2 linked regions of the Diceros bicornis minor genome follow. The protein of the gene in region 1 interacts with the protein of each later gene in a biochemical or structural test. Links are inferred from orthologs where the notes say so. Each region holds a gene or a part of one and is shown in the gene's direction. Other genes may lie near its edges.

Region 1 (7,179 bases):
AATCTCAAATCTAATACCAGATTAATCTGTCATTAATTAGGTATGTTATCTTCCGGTGTTTCTCAAATTTGAGGAATATAAAGGGGAAAAATTCTTGTGAATTCTCAATGTTGGTTTAAGTTAATTTCCTGTTTCTTAAATTTCTACAAACATAAAAGTGATATAAACTTTGTTTATGGTCCTTAATGAAAAGATTTACAAAATAAATGCATTCAAAAACAAAACTAAAACAACAATGGGATGGATGCTATTGTTTTGCAGCAGTGAACATGGTACTGGCTGCTATGGAATAAGTTATAAACACATACAGTCTTATGCCTTCTGATGATTGTAAAGTTTTACAATCTGGACAATAGTAGAGTTGTCTGGAACTTTACTGTTTTGCAGACCTCAAGATGATTGAAATGAGGGGAAGGGGCCTAAATTCTCAAAAGGATGTCTTTGGACTGTCTGCAAATCCTAATTTGAAGAATTCTGTATTACATTATCTGCAAACATTCTTCTAGCTCCAATGAGTAATTCAGAGTCTTGGAACTAGCATTCCTTTGAGAAAAGCTTCAGTTCTTATTTGATCTAGGATTAGGCTTGGCTAGTAGTTAACTAAATTGGATTAAAAGTTGACTATTGTGTGAACTAATACAGGTTTTTCTTTTTAGTTACAGGTGGTCCTTTATACCATTTCAACATTGCACGAACATCAGTTTTCACCGTTCAGTTAAATATCACCAGTCCCCCAACAACACAGTTGAAATTTCAGTTACCATGGTACTAACTGGGAATTGTTGCATAAACTTTGCTACTAGCTCTTTATTCCACAAGTCGTTATGCAAATAAAAGACGTGCATCATGATCAGTAACCAGTTACACATCATTTCTTTCAAAGTCAGTTGCTGACTGGTCACTAACCATCTGTTAGTTCACATACAGATAGTAAAGCATGTAGTTGTTTTGCCTCCTTGTCTCCCAGTGATAAACCCATGTGACATTTTACAAAAATGGATAATCAAAAAAGAGAATTGGTCAACAAAGATGACAGGCAGCAAAGAAACAAAAAGTGATAACACTGGAAGTGAAATTGGATGTGGTCGGAAGATTTGAAAATGGCGACAACAAAGCAAAGATAGGATGAGACCTAGGCCTACATGAAGCTACAGTACAAACCATATTAAAAAATCTGATGAATGTAAAAAACAAGGTAAAGTTGCTTCAACATCTTTCAGTTTAAATTGCACTAGGAACAGAATGCTGCTTATGGTTGAAATGGAGCATTTACTTCTACTTTGGATTGAGGACTAATCAAAAACAATTCCCATTCAGTTTGGCTTCATTCAGGCCAAAGCATTGAAGTTAGTTGCTACATTGAAGAAAAAGGGTAATTACAAGGAGACTGAAAAAGAACATTTTATTGCCAGTAAAGGGTGATTTCATTGTTGCAGAAATTGGCATGATAAATGTTATCTGGTGAAGCTGCAAGCTCACATAAGGATACTACTGTGAAATTTGCACCCAGATTCCAAGAATTATAGGCAGTCCTCGCTTTGCACAGTAGTATGAGACTATATTGTCCAAAACTGCAGGATTTGGATGGGATGTAAATGGACTTCTGAAGATACAGATGACCATGGGAATGTTGACACCGCCGCCGCTCAAGAAGCAGTTCTAGATATGCAGCCAGAGGAACTTAGTGAAGGCGAACATACAGTTATAAATGAGGAAAGTGGTTGTGTCACAAAGGATGAACTTGTCTCAGAGGAAGTGATGCCAGTGGAAAAGCTTCACATTAAAGGAACTCTCAGATATTTCATGATGTTGAAAGCTCAAAGGATAAAATTTTGGGAGCTGATCCAAATTTAGGAGTATGACAATTTGCCAAGGCATAGAAAAGATGCTCCATATCATAAGTTATATGATGAGAAGAAAGCAAGCAGTGTTCAAACTACTCTTGATACTTTTTTGTAAAGAAATAAAACACTAATTTCCAGTGTTTCTAATGTTTTAAATATTAGTTTTACTTTTTTACATTTATAACTAACACCAAGAGAGTGTTTTGACAAATTTTAAGGTCACAGAACAATCACAGACTATTAATCCCAAAGATTAAGATTGCTTTGCATAGTTTAGTTTACTAGTCAAAGCAAGAACTGCCTGCATTTAAAACAAGCTAGGGAGTCTATATTTTATCAACTATAAATACATCACATCTAGAAATGGCTATAGTTTATTTTTAGCCTTATCATAACCATTTATAAATTATAAGTGACATTTTTCATAGTGCTTTTGTGTGCTACTATAACAAGGCTTTGATTTAAAAATTTATAATATTGAATGTCTTATATTTGGACTTTGAAATTAATCCATTTGTAGGGAAAATCCTGTCAAATCGAATAGGGGTTGGTAAACTTCCTGTAAGGGGCCATATAGTAAATATTTTAGGCTTTGCAGGCCATATGGTCTCTCTATCAACTACTCAACTTTGCCCTTGTAGCACTAAAATAGCAGTAGACAATACATAAACCATTGAGCATAGCTGTGTTCCAATAAAACTTTATGGGACACTGATTTCATATAATTTTTGCATGTCGAGATTTTTTTTGCCATTCTTAGTCCACAGGGCTTACAGAAGGGGGTGAGGGACGGGAAGGTTTATAGTTTGACTGAACGCAAGAGGAACGTGTAGTTGCACTGTGTGATTGTATTAAATCATACCAAAGAATGTGCTATTTTGGGAGAGTTGTTCTAATGAACCCTTTTTTCATACCAATGCACACTTATATGTAGTTGGGGGTCTTTTGGGAATGGGGCAGTAGGGAGGTCAGTGTTTTCTGTTTAGGGATTTTTTATTGTCACTTCTTTAGGTAAACTAGTCCTTGCAGCTATAAATAAAAATGGAAGGCTTTTTAGAACACTAGAAATTAGCTATTGTAGCTTAAGTAATCCACTCGAGCTGGTCTATTTCCTTCAGAAAAAAACTTGCTTTTTAAATTGAAGTACAAGTACAAGACACTGAAAGGGTGTTGGAAAGAGTGCAGTAAAACTATAAAAATATGCCTACTCTCTAGTATTTAAATAGTGTCTCGCATATTTTACCTGTTGTGTACAAGAAAGAAACATCCAGTGAAGGCGCTTAGAAAAGGCTTTAGGAAAGAGAGTTGACTGAATGATCCGTGTAATGGGAAGAGAACTGGTCCAGAAGTTAGGAGACCTGGGTTGAATCCAGGTTCCGGTACTTGAGCAAGTGATTTTCCTCTGGCTTTACTTCGCTGTAACCCTAAACTAGAAACGACATTCAGGCAACGCACTAATTAGATGGCAGGCTCTGGCGAAACTAGCCAATTTCCAGGGACTGAGGGCAAATAATAGATCCCAAACAGGACCACAGGGTCCTAACTGGAATACCTTACCCCTACGCCTCTGGAATAACCAACTGTCCACAACAGCCTTTGAGTAGGACCAGATCCTCTGGTTTTAAAGAAGTGCTCAAAACGCAATGCTGTCGAACCAAGTAAGCAATTTTAAGAACCCAGACACAAATTACTGCATTAAGGCCCTTGCAGCCCGATTTTCACGTGGTTTGTCTGGTGTTGGCAGTGTCGCGGGGGCTGCTGACGTCTCACAGGACTGGTGCTACGTGGCATTCCTGCGGGCCGCGGTCTGTCCTCGGCCAAACAGCTACACCCAGGAGGCCGGTTCTTCGTAGTCCGCCACCGCGCCCCGCGCGCCGCCCCTCCGAAAGGGTACCCGGCCTCACAGGCGGGCGAGAACGCCGCCAGCGCCGCACGCTCCGCCCCCGGCCTGCCACGGCTTCCGGAAGTGCCGAGGTGGGCCGCGCGCCGGAGTGGGCGGGGCGAGGCGCAGCTCCCGGAAGCGTCCGCCGGCTAGCTGGGTGGGGCTGCGGCTGCCACGTTGGAGCGGAACGTGGAGGTGGCCCTGGGCGGGGAGGAGGGGCGGCGGCGAATGCTGGGAGAGTCTGACGGGCGCCGCGCTCACGCAGGAACTGGTCGCCGAGGGTCCCCGCCAGGTGCGTCCGCCCATTCCCTCCTGCCCCCTTCCCCGGCCCGCGGGCCTTGAGTTAGATCCCGGGCCAAAGCGGGGACCCTGGCCTCGGTCACCGCTGGTCCCTGCTCGTCTGCGGCCCGGTCTCTGGTGGCAGGGCGCCCCTGGTCTTCGTTTCGGGCCCGGCAGGACGACGCCTGGCGTCACGGCCGCCTCGGGCATCGCGCCGGTCCGCATCGGCCCCTGAGGCTGGCGACAGGGTGTTTTGCGGGGCTGGTAGCTGGGGTCTGAGGTTAGGAGACCTTCAGACCCTTGTGCACAGAGAGGTGCGGTCCCCAAGGGCAAGGGAAGGAAACAAACCTTAGGATTACTTTGGTTGACTTTAGTTTGGTCGGGATTTTTTGTTTATGTTTCAACTGTTGCCAAATTTGAAGGTTCCTAAGTTTTAACTGAGGGCTACTGTGATTTAACCAGGACTGGATTATTTTAAGGACAGTAGTCGCAGATCGCAGCCTATACGTCGAAGGAAGTCTCATTAAGTGTTGTACGTTTTTGCTAGTAAATTACTATGATAAGAGGTTAAATTGCGGGGCAGGTGTAAAATAAATCAAAATATTGCCTGAGCTTGTAGGCATTATAAACTTTTCTGTGAGCTCAGGGAACTAATTTTACGTAGGTCTTTCTGAAATTGCAGTGATGGTCTGTGACAAATCCTTCCTCCTAAACTGCCTTCTCTAACTACAGAAGACTAAAATTTATTGTGTTTGTCGGCAACTGTAACTGTATTTAATCCATAATTAGAGCCTCGTCCTTGTATCATACTAGCCTACGTTTTCTGTACATATCGATTGTTCTAGTGTTGGCTAAAGTTTACTCACCTTTTCTTAGTGGTTCTTCTGTGCTCCTTGTTTCTCATTGTCCCCACTTACAGCTCTGGGAAAGATTTGTAGACTCTTAAGAACTTTTGGATAACTTGAAGTGTTTTTGTGGTTGTGAATTTATGTTACACACATCTAAGGTTATTTGGGAAAGATGAGATTTGGAATGGATTTAGAATTATACTGCTTAATTTTATATAAACAGGTTCTTTTCTGAAGCTAATAACATGAGAATAGAAAGAAATTTGTAAACTGAAGAACAGTGGTTCTTAACCTTTTGGGATTTCACTCCCTTTTGCGGATCTGGTGAAAGCATTGGATCATCTTCCTAGAAAAATGCACGTACATGTATAGGAATGATATAGAAATGATATGAATGAAATGATATACAAAACTATATCATTTCATGAGGTTTATGTATCCCAAGTTAAAAACTCATATAAGGTAGTATTATTAAGTTGATTTTTACGTTGTTTTTAGAAATGTCATTCTTAGGTTAATTTCAGCTCAAAAAGTTTTATTTATTAGATTGCAGATGAGTATGACACTATTTAGTTCAGTAACCAATGCACAGTTGCTTCTTTGATTTGGTTGAGATGAGCCTAGAACATTGATAACACTGAATAAATCTTCTAGAACACGTGTGCCCATCCATAATGAGATATTTTGCCCACACAAGATGGATTTTTATTAAGGCCGTGCCAGCTAGGGATTGTATTCCTGGTTTGGGAGTCAGAGTTTCCAATTCTATTGCCTCTTTCACTTTTAACTTTTTGAGGTATGGGTCAGCTCTCTATATATCATTGTAAGGTTGGTATTTTTTTAGAGATAGTACTGTTGGGTTTTAGTATTGTTTCACAAAATTAGCATTTAGAAAATAAGCGGAAAGTTTCCACTTAACTGCATGCAATGATCGTGGAGAAAAATTTGGATGAAAAAAATGAAAGTTTTACTCTGGAACATAAATTTTTCTTCAAGAGATGTATTCTTGAAGATTTATTGGGATAAACATTTTAAATTGTGACTTTGGTAATAGCTGACATTTACAAGCATTTATTTACTACATGCCGGGCACTGTTCTAAGCACTGTGCAAATTCTTACAACAACTCTGTGGCATGGATACTTTTATTGTACAAATCTACCTCAACTTCTGATGGGGTTACGTCCTGATAAACCCATTGTGAGTTGAAGATATCATAAGTGGAAAATGCATTTAATACACCTAATCTACCGAACATCATAGCTTAGCCTCGCCTACCTTAAATGTGCTCAGAACACTTACATTAGCCTACAGTTGGACAGATTACTAACACAAAGCCTATTTTATAAAAAAGTGTTGAATATCTCATGTAATTTATTGAACACTGTACTGAAAGTGAAAAACAGAGTGGTTGTGTGGGTACAGAATGGTTGTGAGTGTATCCATTGTTTACCCTCGAGATTGAGTCGCTGACTGGGAGCTGTGGCTCTCAGGTGCTGCCCAGCATCATGAGTATCGTACCGCATATCACTAGCCCGGGAAAAGATCAAAATTGAAAGTATGGTTTCTACTGAATGCATATTGCTTTCTCGCCATCATAAAGTTGAAAAATTGTAAGTGGAGCTATCGTAAATCAGGGACCATCTGTACATATTTTACCAAGTGGGTAGCCAAGACATACATAGGTAAACTTACATGCCTAAAGTCAGAGCTGGGACATGGTGCAGTTGGAATTTAAACCGAGAGTGTTGGCTCCCGACTCCACACTCTTAACTGCTATGCTACAGATATTGTCTTACAGATGACTATCTTCACAATTTTCTTTTTATATTTTCAAAGTTATTATGTTCTGTGTAAAATAGTCTTGAATAAAACAAATCTGCATAGTGTGAATTCTAATCACATAATATTGAAAAAATTACACAAAGCTGCAAAACTGCTCTTTTTTTTTTTGCTGAGGAAGTTTCTCTCTGGGCTAATATCTGTGCCAGTCCTCCTCTATTTTGTACTTGGGTCGCTACCACAGCATGGCTGCCGATGAGTGGTGTAGGTCCATGCCCAGGAACCAAACCTGGGCCGCTGAAGAGGAGCGTGCCGAACTTAACCACTAGGCCATGGGGCTGGCCCCCACACAAAGCTTTTAAAGCAAGTCTCACTTGGGAAGTACACATGGTTTAATCTAAGCCTTCTTACTTCATATTTTCAAGAAAATTAGTTACAACTAAATGAATGATCATTTCTAAGAGAAAGAATACACGTGCATCCAGATGAGGCTGTATTTCCATAGCATTCTCAGTAGTTTTGAGAATGCTTGCAATAGGTAGATT
Region 2 (7,338 bases), on another chromosome or scaffold:
CTTTTTCTGTTTGGGACTGGACCACCCTCTTAGCTTCTTTTCTGTCTTCTGGACAGGGGCTCCAGGAGAAGGCAGCAGATTCATTTCTGAGGTCTAAGCTCACCAACTTGTCTCCCTCCAACAGATGAGGGACGAGCAGGGGCCCATTCAGTGACCTCTGGGGCTGTAGAGTCACCTGCCTTTAAGGTGGGCAGGGAGGAAACTCAGGCGTTTCCTTCCTGCGACTCAAGCAGTGCTCTCCCTAACCCAGAAGCAGCCTCGATTGCTCCCACCAACCCCTCACCATGGCCCCTTGCCCCCTTGTCCCAACCAAAGCATAGAGCTGACAAGAGGGAGGGTGCCCTGCCTCTGACACCAGACTCATGACAATGACTGCACTGGGGCAGGGACTCTGGACCTGTCTTATCCTGGGTATCCCAGTTACTGAAGAGCCACACTTTTCCCCAGCCATCCTGAAATGCCCCCTTTACCGCAGACTGACAGCTTAGATAAATGTGGGTCTGTTTCTGGAATTTCTCTTCTGTTCCCCTATCTGTGTGTCTCATCTGGCACCAGCCACATGGTTTTAATTACTGTCGCTTTATATAATGTTTTAATATGTGCTGGGACAAGTCCCCTTCACTCTTTTTTGTTTTTTACAAAAATTTACAAAATTCCCTGGTTATTCTCTCACATCTACTCTTCCAAGTAAACTTTAAAATTTTGCCAAGTCCTCCACCTCTCCCCTCCTCCCACCCCAAATACTGGGCCCTGTCATTCTATGTGCAAACATCCCGCCACTGGAAGTACTGTCCACTCAGGCTCGTTAAATAAAGTGTCCTGTGAGGAGAGACAAAAAGGGCGCCCTGAATCTTGAGGGAAGCCCAATGTTCCTCCCATCATCTCACCTGTCCCCTAAGCCAGGGTGTCATCAGAGAGGCCACCGAGCCACCACCCAATCTCAGTTTGAGACCCAAAGTCACCCCCTTTGGTTGTGCTGGGCTAGCCCCTCCATCTGCCCTGGTCCAGATGAGAAAGAGGGGTGTCCCCCAGACCCAGAACTACCAGAATGCGGGGCCCAGTTGCCTCTATTTCTAATTCTCCTCATGGAGAAACATTTATTCCTGTCTCCCTTTCCTGAACTGCTTTTCTTTGGGGGAGGGTCAACTCTTGCTCTTCGTTCGGAGTTTTCAGTAGTTGGGTGACAGGCCCTTTGGGGTGCAGCTGTTTCTTGCCTGGCCTTTCTCACCACCCGGACTCCCCTCCCCGTTCTCGCTCTACTTACAGGAGGCTGTCACCCGGGTGCACTGTGACGTGCCTCGCACCCCAAACTCTCTCCACAGTCTCTGAGATCCCACCATTGGAAGAGCAGGGCAGGGTTGCATTTCTAGAAGGCTTTTGGGTCTTCCAGAGCCAAGGCCTAAACCAGACAACAGCAGAAAATCCCCAAGTCTTCTCCAAGTTCCAAAGCAAGCTCTCCTGACGTTGACGTAGAGATCCCACCCACCCGAGTGGGGGCCGGGGGGGTCCCAGGCCCTGGGCATCAGCCATCACCCCCTCCACCAAAAGCAAGAGATTTGAGGCCGCTTTCGGACCGCCCTTCTCAGCCCCGAGTCTGTTTTGTAATGCCTGTGGTGCTCTCCCTCCGGACCTTTCCTCTCTGGGGTCACCACACTTTGCTAACTCTTGTGTACACATATTTTATAACAGAGTAGCGAGGAAATGGTGCCACCTCCAGCTTCCACAAGCTGCCTGGGCTCTGGGGGGCTCTGGGGGGCTCTGGGACAATCGGGGCTGGGAAATGACTGTGCTCTTATTGTACACTCTTTATTTCTCTGTATCTCTGGCTTGTGCTCTTTGTAATTAATGGGATTTGTCTGCCTTTTCAACACTATACTGAGCAATAACAATAAATGCACACATGGAAATGCAGACACGGTACACATCACAAGGCCTTTTTCCGTAGGCTAGCTGGGTCCCTACCCTCCGTGGATTTGAACTTAGGGGGAAACTGAATCCCTGGGAGGGAAAGGCACTTTGCCCAAGGGTGCACAGCGCAGTGGGAAGTCTCTTTCCTTCCACCTAGTCACACCTTTCAAACATCCACCGTTCAAGGGAGACAAGTTTAACCTGCCATGAGTCATTAACCTTTCACAAGGAATGGCTGACAGTCCCAGAGAGCAAGACTTTGGGGGAAGGGGCCTCAGGAGGAGGAGGAGATTCAGGGGCAGAGGGTCTGGGAGGTAGGGGCACAAATTGGAGAAAACTAAGAATGGGCTGATTTGGGGTCTGGGATTAACCAGAGGGAGGTGATGGGAGATATGGACATGGGATGTAGGTGGCATCCCCTACTAGGGAAGGGGAAGGCAGAGGGGAGCCTGGCACCCTAAGAGTCTGAACTTTGCAAACCTCTGCTGAACATCAGCGGAGAATGAGAATGTGCCCAGATCAAGAGATGGTCCCAGTGTTGGTACAAAGGGTGAGGGTTGCACATGCACACCACACACACACACACACACACACACACACACACACAAATCCCAGCTCTTTTCAGAGAGAACTGATCCCCAGATCAAGCACCACAGGCCCATCCAACTTCCAAACACCGTTTCACATCCAAGGGTCCCTTTAATCCCAAGATCCACCTTCAGAGGAGGTATTATAACTCCCACTTGACAGAAGAGGAGACAGCAGCTCAGAGAGGTGGAAGGTGTGCCCACCTAGTAAGTAGGAGAGTCAGTACTGATACTTAGCAGTCTTGATCCCAGTATCAGCACTCAAAACCTCCATGTTATAATGCTTTTCAGTCCCACCAGCAAAGACCCTAATGAATAAGATACAGTTGCATTCCTTGTCCCAAATCCCCAGTCTCTCCAACTTCAATGCCAACACCAAGGAATTCCTTTAATAACCACTATGCCCCATGCATTATATTTGTATTATATCTAATATGCCATTGTCCCCATGTCCACTTGAGGAAGGCGAGGCTCAGAGAGAAGTGATTTGACCTTATCACCCAGAGAATCACTGGTGCAGCCACAGAGCCAAGGCCAGGGCCTGTCCCTTGAAACACAGGGGGCCCAAGAGCCCCGCCCCTTTGTTGGCTGCTCCGCCCTAACGGCACGCCTTCACACCCCTCCAATATTTCTCCATTAGAGGGAAGTGAGGAGTCTTGAAAGCTGGGGTGGGGGTGGAAGGGTGGGTTGCTGCCCAGAGGCCCAGCCCTGAGTTCTGTGAGACGCCACTCGCTGGGCCCCCGCTCCAAAGCTCCTTGATGGTCTGGGTGTGTCCCACTCTCTGAGCCTTAACATCTTCCCTCAAGCAGCACCCTCTCCAGCTAGGGTTCTCACCTCCAGTTTCAAAAGAGGAAATGGAGGGACTGCGACGTACCCAAGCAGAGTCTAGTCTCCACCCTAGTCACCGGACTCCTTACTGCCATGAGCGGCCGAGGGCTGCCAGATCTGTGTGGCTGAGGGAGCCCCCGGCCCTGTCCAGCAGTGCAGCGTTCTCACTGTGCTTGTGGGAAGCGGGGATTGGGGTCAGGAGCCCCGGGGCTTGGGTCCCGGCTCTAGCTGCAGGAGCCTGGCTGAGATCCCTCCTTGCCTGGGGGCTCTACCTGTGAGCCAGACTCAGGGGATCCCAGCTCTCCGAGGAAGGGGCAGTTTGGAGCATGGGTCCCCCGGCTTGGAGAGGGCTCAGCCTCTGGTAGGGGGCATTTCCTGGACTTCTCTGCCCCTGGTCCCAGCCTTGGGTCCTGAGGAGGGACTAACAACAAGGAAGCACGAGGACCGGTCTCCCGACTCCCCCCAGAACTAATCAACCTACAATGGTCATCACAAGGCCGGCCGCACCCAGAACCGCAGACAGGCGGGTGACGCTGTGGGTGTGAATCCTTTCTTTCGTATACGGATCTCAGGAAAAGGGAAGGGTTGATCCAGAGCAAGACAGCCTAGATCTTCATATTCCAAAAGCCCCTGGTCAGGGTCGCCGGGGGAACGAGAACCCCACCCCGCGAGTCTCGCGCGTTCTGCAAGCAGAAGGGGCGGGGCCGCGGGGGGAGAGGTGGGGGCGGCCTTTGGAAAGCGCGGAACCTTGGTGTGAGCTGGCGCGTTGCTGCCCGGAGGCTCCTGCGCCGGGGCCCCACGGCCTGCCGGCCCGGCGACGGAAGTGAGGCTTTCGGAGGCGCCGCCGGGAGCTGCCACGTCCGAGGCCGGAGCCGGCACACTGCAGACATGGTGAGCGTGGGGGCCGGGGCGCCGAGCGGGTCGCGGCCTCCCGGGATCCTTGCCGCGCCGAGGTCTGGGGGCTCCGGCCCTGCCCCGCCGGGCGGCTGGGGTGCAGAGGGGCGGCCCCGGGCCCCGCCGGAGTTGTGCGGCCGCGCCGCGCGCCCCTGCCTGTCCTCTCCTCCCCCCCCGGCGGTTGGAAAGAGCCCCCGACCCGCGGGGCTCCTGCGCCCGAGCCCGGGGGCAGCCCGGCGTGGTTGGCAGTCAGCCCGCCGGCGGCCCTCGAGCGGGCGCCGTCGCCGTCCCCGCCGACCGGCGCGGAGCCGCGGGGCCAGAGGCCAGGCCTGCGGCGCGCCGAGGGCCCGAGCCGGGATTCGCCCCGAGCAGTCCCGGTGCCGCCGCCGCTCTCGGCAGCCGCTGTGGCGGGCGCCCGGCGCTGTGCGGGGGGCTGCGCGGCCCTGCGGCGGGGCCGTGTCTGCGCCCTCCGCGCGGCTCCGGGAGTGCAGGGACGGCCGCCTGAGCCCGGCGCGGGGGTCGGGAAGGCAGGCGTGCCTGCGCCCCGAGGGAGCCCGGGGGAGCCGGGAGTCCAGACGCTGGCTGCAGCTCCTGCCCTGCAGGCGCGGGTGCGAATCGTGCATCTGCTTTAGCCTCTGGTTCCTCAGCTGCTGAGAAGAGTTGGGGTCTTGTGCTCTGACAGTTAGCTCGTTCTAAATGGACTTTTAACTCGTTAACTGATTCTGAAGAGCTGAATTGTGAGGGCTGCTTCTTAATACTTAACAAGGACCAGACGACTTGAGGTGCTTGGGAGGAAGGACTTTTTAATAAAGGGTTTTGTTTTGTTTTCTTAAAAAGCACTTGTTGAGAAGCGGGGTTCACCAATCCTGTCTGGGGTGTGAGAGTAGTTGAAAGTAAGTGCTGGTTATCTCTGAGGTCCTTTGGTTAGCTGGTATGAAACTACCAGTGAATTTTCTTCCTGACTCTCCTTAGCCCTCAGCCAGTGATTTAGGGCATTGGATGTAACAACTACTTTATGTTCTAGATGAGCAGACTAGTGGAGTGGAAAGCTCGGTGGGCTGGGAGTTAGCAGGTGGGGCTCTTCCCAGCTCCACCTTTATCTAGCTCTGGGACTTTGGCAAGTGCTTTCTCTTCTCTGGGCTTCTTCAGTTCTTTAGTCTGTCAGGCAGCTCTGATTAACTCTGCTCTTCATCGTTCCCACTGCACATGTGATGGCACTTTGTAATCTAGACAGCTTGGCACACGTAAGAGACTCTTCTCTTTTATCCTCCTTACCTGCCTTTGCAGACCGAGGGGGCCCACTTTTTAGGGAGTCTAGACTTCGGTGAGAGAACTTGTGCTTACTTGATGTGTACCTTTTGGACTGCTTGGCAGCCATCCTCTTCCAGTGTTCACCTTTCTGAAAAGTCAAGTCAGACTTTATACCTGCAGGTCTTGTGCTGGAAAAGGATGAAATGGGGAAATGGTAAGAAATATCAGTTCCAAACTGAAACCTTTTCAATCCCGGGAGTTTGAAGAGAACAGTGGTTGAGTAAAGTAAAACTGTCTGTTTTTGTTCGTTTGCTTATTCATTCCTTCTGGTTGCAAAGCATTGTGCTGGGTGATTTGAGAGGATTCAAAACTATGGCCAACGCAGACCTTGGCTTGAGGGAGCTCACCTAGTTGGGAGAAGAAACAGCGTCAAGTGTTGTAGACATTCAGTGCTGAAGATATTCAGAGGAGTCCTGCCACTTGGGGGATCTGGGAATCTTCAAAAAGGGGGGCATCATTTGAGCGGGATCAGTAGGTGACAGTCTGAGATCTGTCACAGGGGGTGGGCCAGGAAGCAGCCTCAGGAGAAACTTGAATCAGTTCTCCAGGTCTTAGGTATTAACCGTGTTATGCAAAAAACTGCCTGGAACATGTGAGCCTCTGTCATCCTGGAAGGGAACACCAGCCACAGCTCCCTCAGGGACCCTCTTCACCCCCAAAGGTAGCGAGGACTGCTTGCTATGCCCCCTCTTGGTTCCTGTTATCCCCTTCTGCTTGGACTGTGTTTTTTCCCAGTGCCACCTGGCACTTGCTCCTCATCTAAGCCCCAGTTGGTGTCTACCACTAGTGGCCCATTAGGCTGCTACAGCACTCGTAACCACCGTCAGAGCATTTATCTTGCCATGTTCAGGTTACTTATGTGCAAGCTTCGCAGGGGCAAGAAGTACCTCTTATTTGTGTCTATATCTCCAACCCCTTGGCAAAAAGAAGGTACTTAGAGTGAATGTTTACTGAATGAATGAATGAACAAATGAAGTCAAGAGCTTTAGAAATGATCTGTGGATTTAATGACATGATTGTATTCTAACTGCCATCAGTTCATTTACCAATGATAACTTTGGTTCTAGGTGTCAGTAATTAACACTGTGGACACCTCCCACGAGGACATGATTGTAAGTATTCCCTTAGCGCTCCCTCCCACACTGTGGACATGGGCATTTCTGTGGGAGGGAAACATTTCTGTTGATCATTCATGAATCCAGTGTAGCTTTGCAGCCTTTACCAGTTAGGCTGTAGCCTCAGGGGTGTGGTCAGCCTCCCAGCAGCACCCTGTGGGTTGGCAGGGCTGTGGCAGTCTGGTCGCTCTCTGGTGGGAGGAACGTAGGATTAGTTTATAGCTCAAAGCCCTCAGTCTTCTGGCCAACAAAGTAACCTGCTCTGGGATAGAAGCTGAGTGGGTATAGGTTTGACAATAGTCTTCCCACCTGTCTTCTTCCTGAGGCCACTTCTTAGCCCCATTGGAAAGGGGGTTAAAAGAACAGAGAGGAGGAAGATGACTCAGTACAAATGCAGAGGCCAGGCACAGCGAGAGCCCAAGGCAGAGCCAGGTAGGACCACCACAGACACCCTTTGACCCAGAAGACATTAACTGAGGGCATTTCCGAGAGGCAAACACAAGGCTCAGTATAAGAGGACAGGGCCGTGGAGAAGGTCCAGAGGTTAAAGTCTCCAGCAGCAAAGATGCAGACTCGGTGTCATGCAGGGCCCAGCAGTCCAGGCAGCCTTACAGCCTTTTATCCCAGAGTTCCTGCCCTCACAGCCTGCCCACCAGTAGTTGCTTTTGGGCTTCTGAGGGGTTGCCTGGTCTCAG

Evidence for each region.
Region 2: the proteins of SEC31A (region 1) and SEC13 form a complex in vitro, tested with the Homo sapiens proteins (2 studies listed by BioGRID and IntAct, with this or other methods). The link is inferred for Diceros bicornis minor from reciprocal best matches to the Homo sapiens genes SEC31A and SEC13.

Annotation. Positions count from the first base shown.
Region 1 is NC_080747.1:67,552,700-67,559,878, reverse strand, and holds the start of SEC31A (protein transport protein Sec31A), read left to right. Parts: upstream 1-3,912; 5' UTR 3,913-4,018; intron 4,019-7,179. UniProt on the Homo sapiens protein: Component of the coat protein complex II (COPII) which promotes the formation of transport vesicles from the endoplasmic reticulum (ER).
Region 2 is NC_080741.1:86,342,373-86,349,710, forward strand, and holds the start of SEC13 (protein SEC13 homolog), read left to right. Parts: upstream 1-4,134; 5' UTR 4,135-4,211; coding exon 4,212-4,214; intron 4,215-6,595; coding exon 6,596-6,640; intron 6,641-7,338. UniProt on the Homo sapiens protein: Functions as a component of the nuclear pore complex (NPC) and the COPII coat. At the endoplasmic reticulum, SEC13 is involved in the biogenesis of COPII-coated vesicles.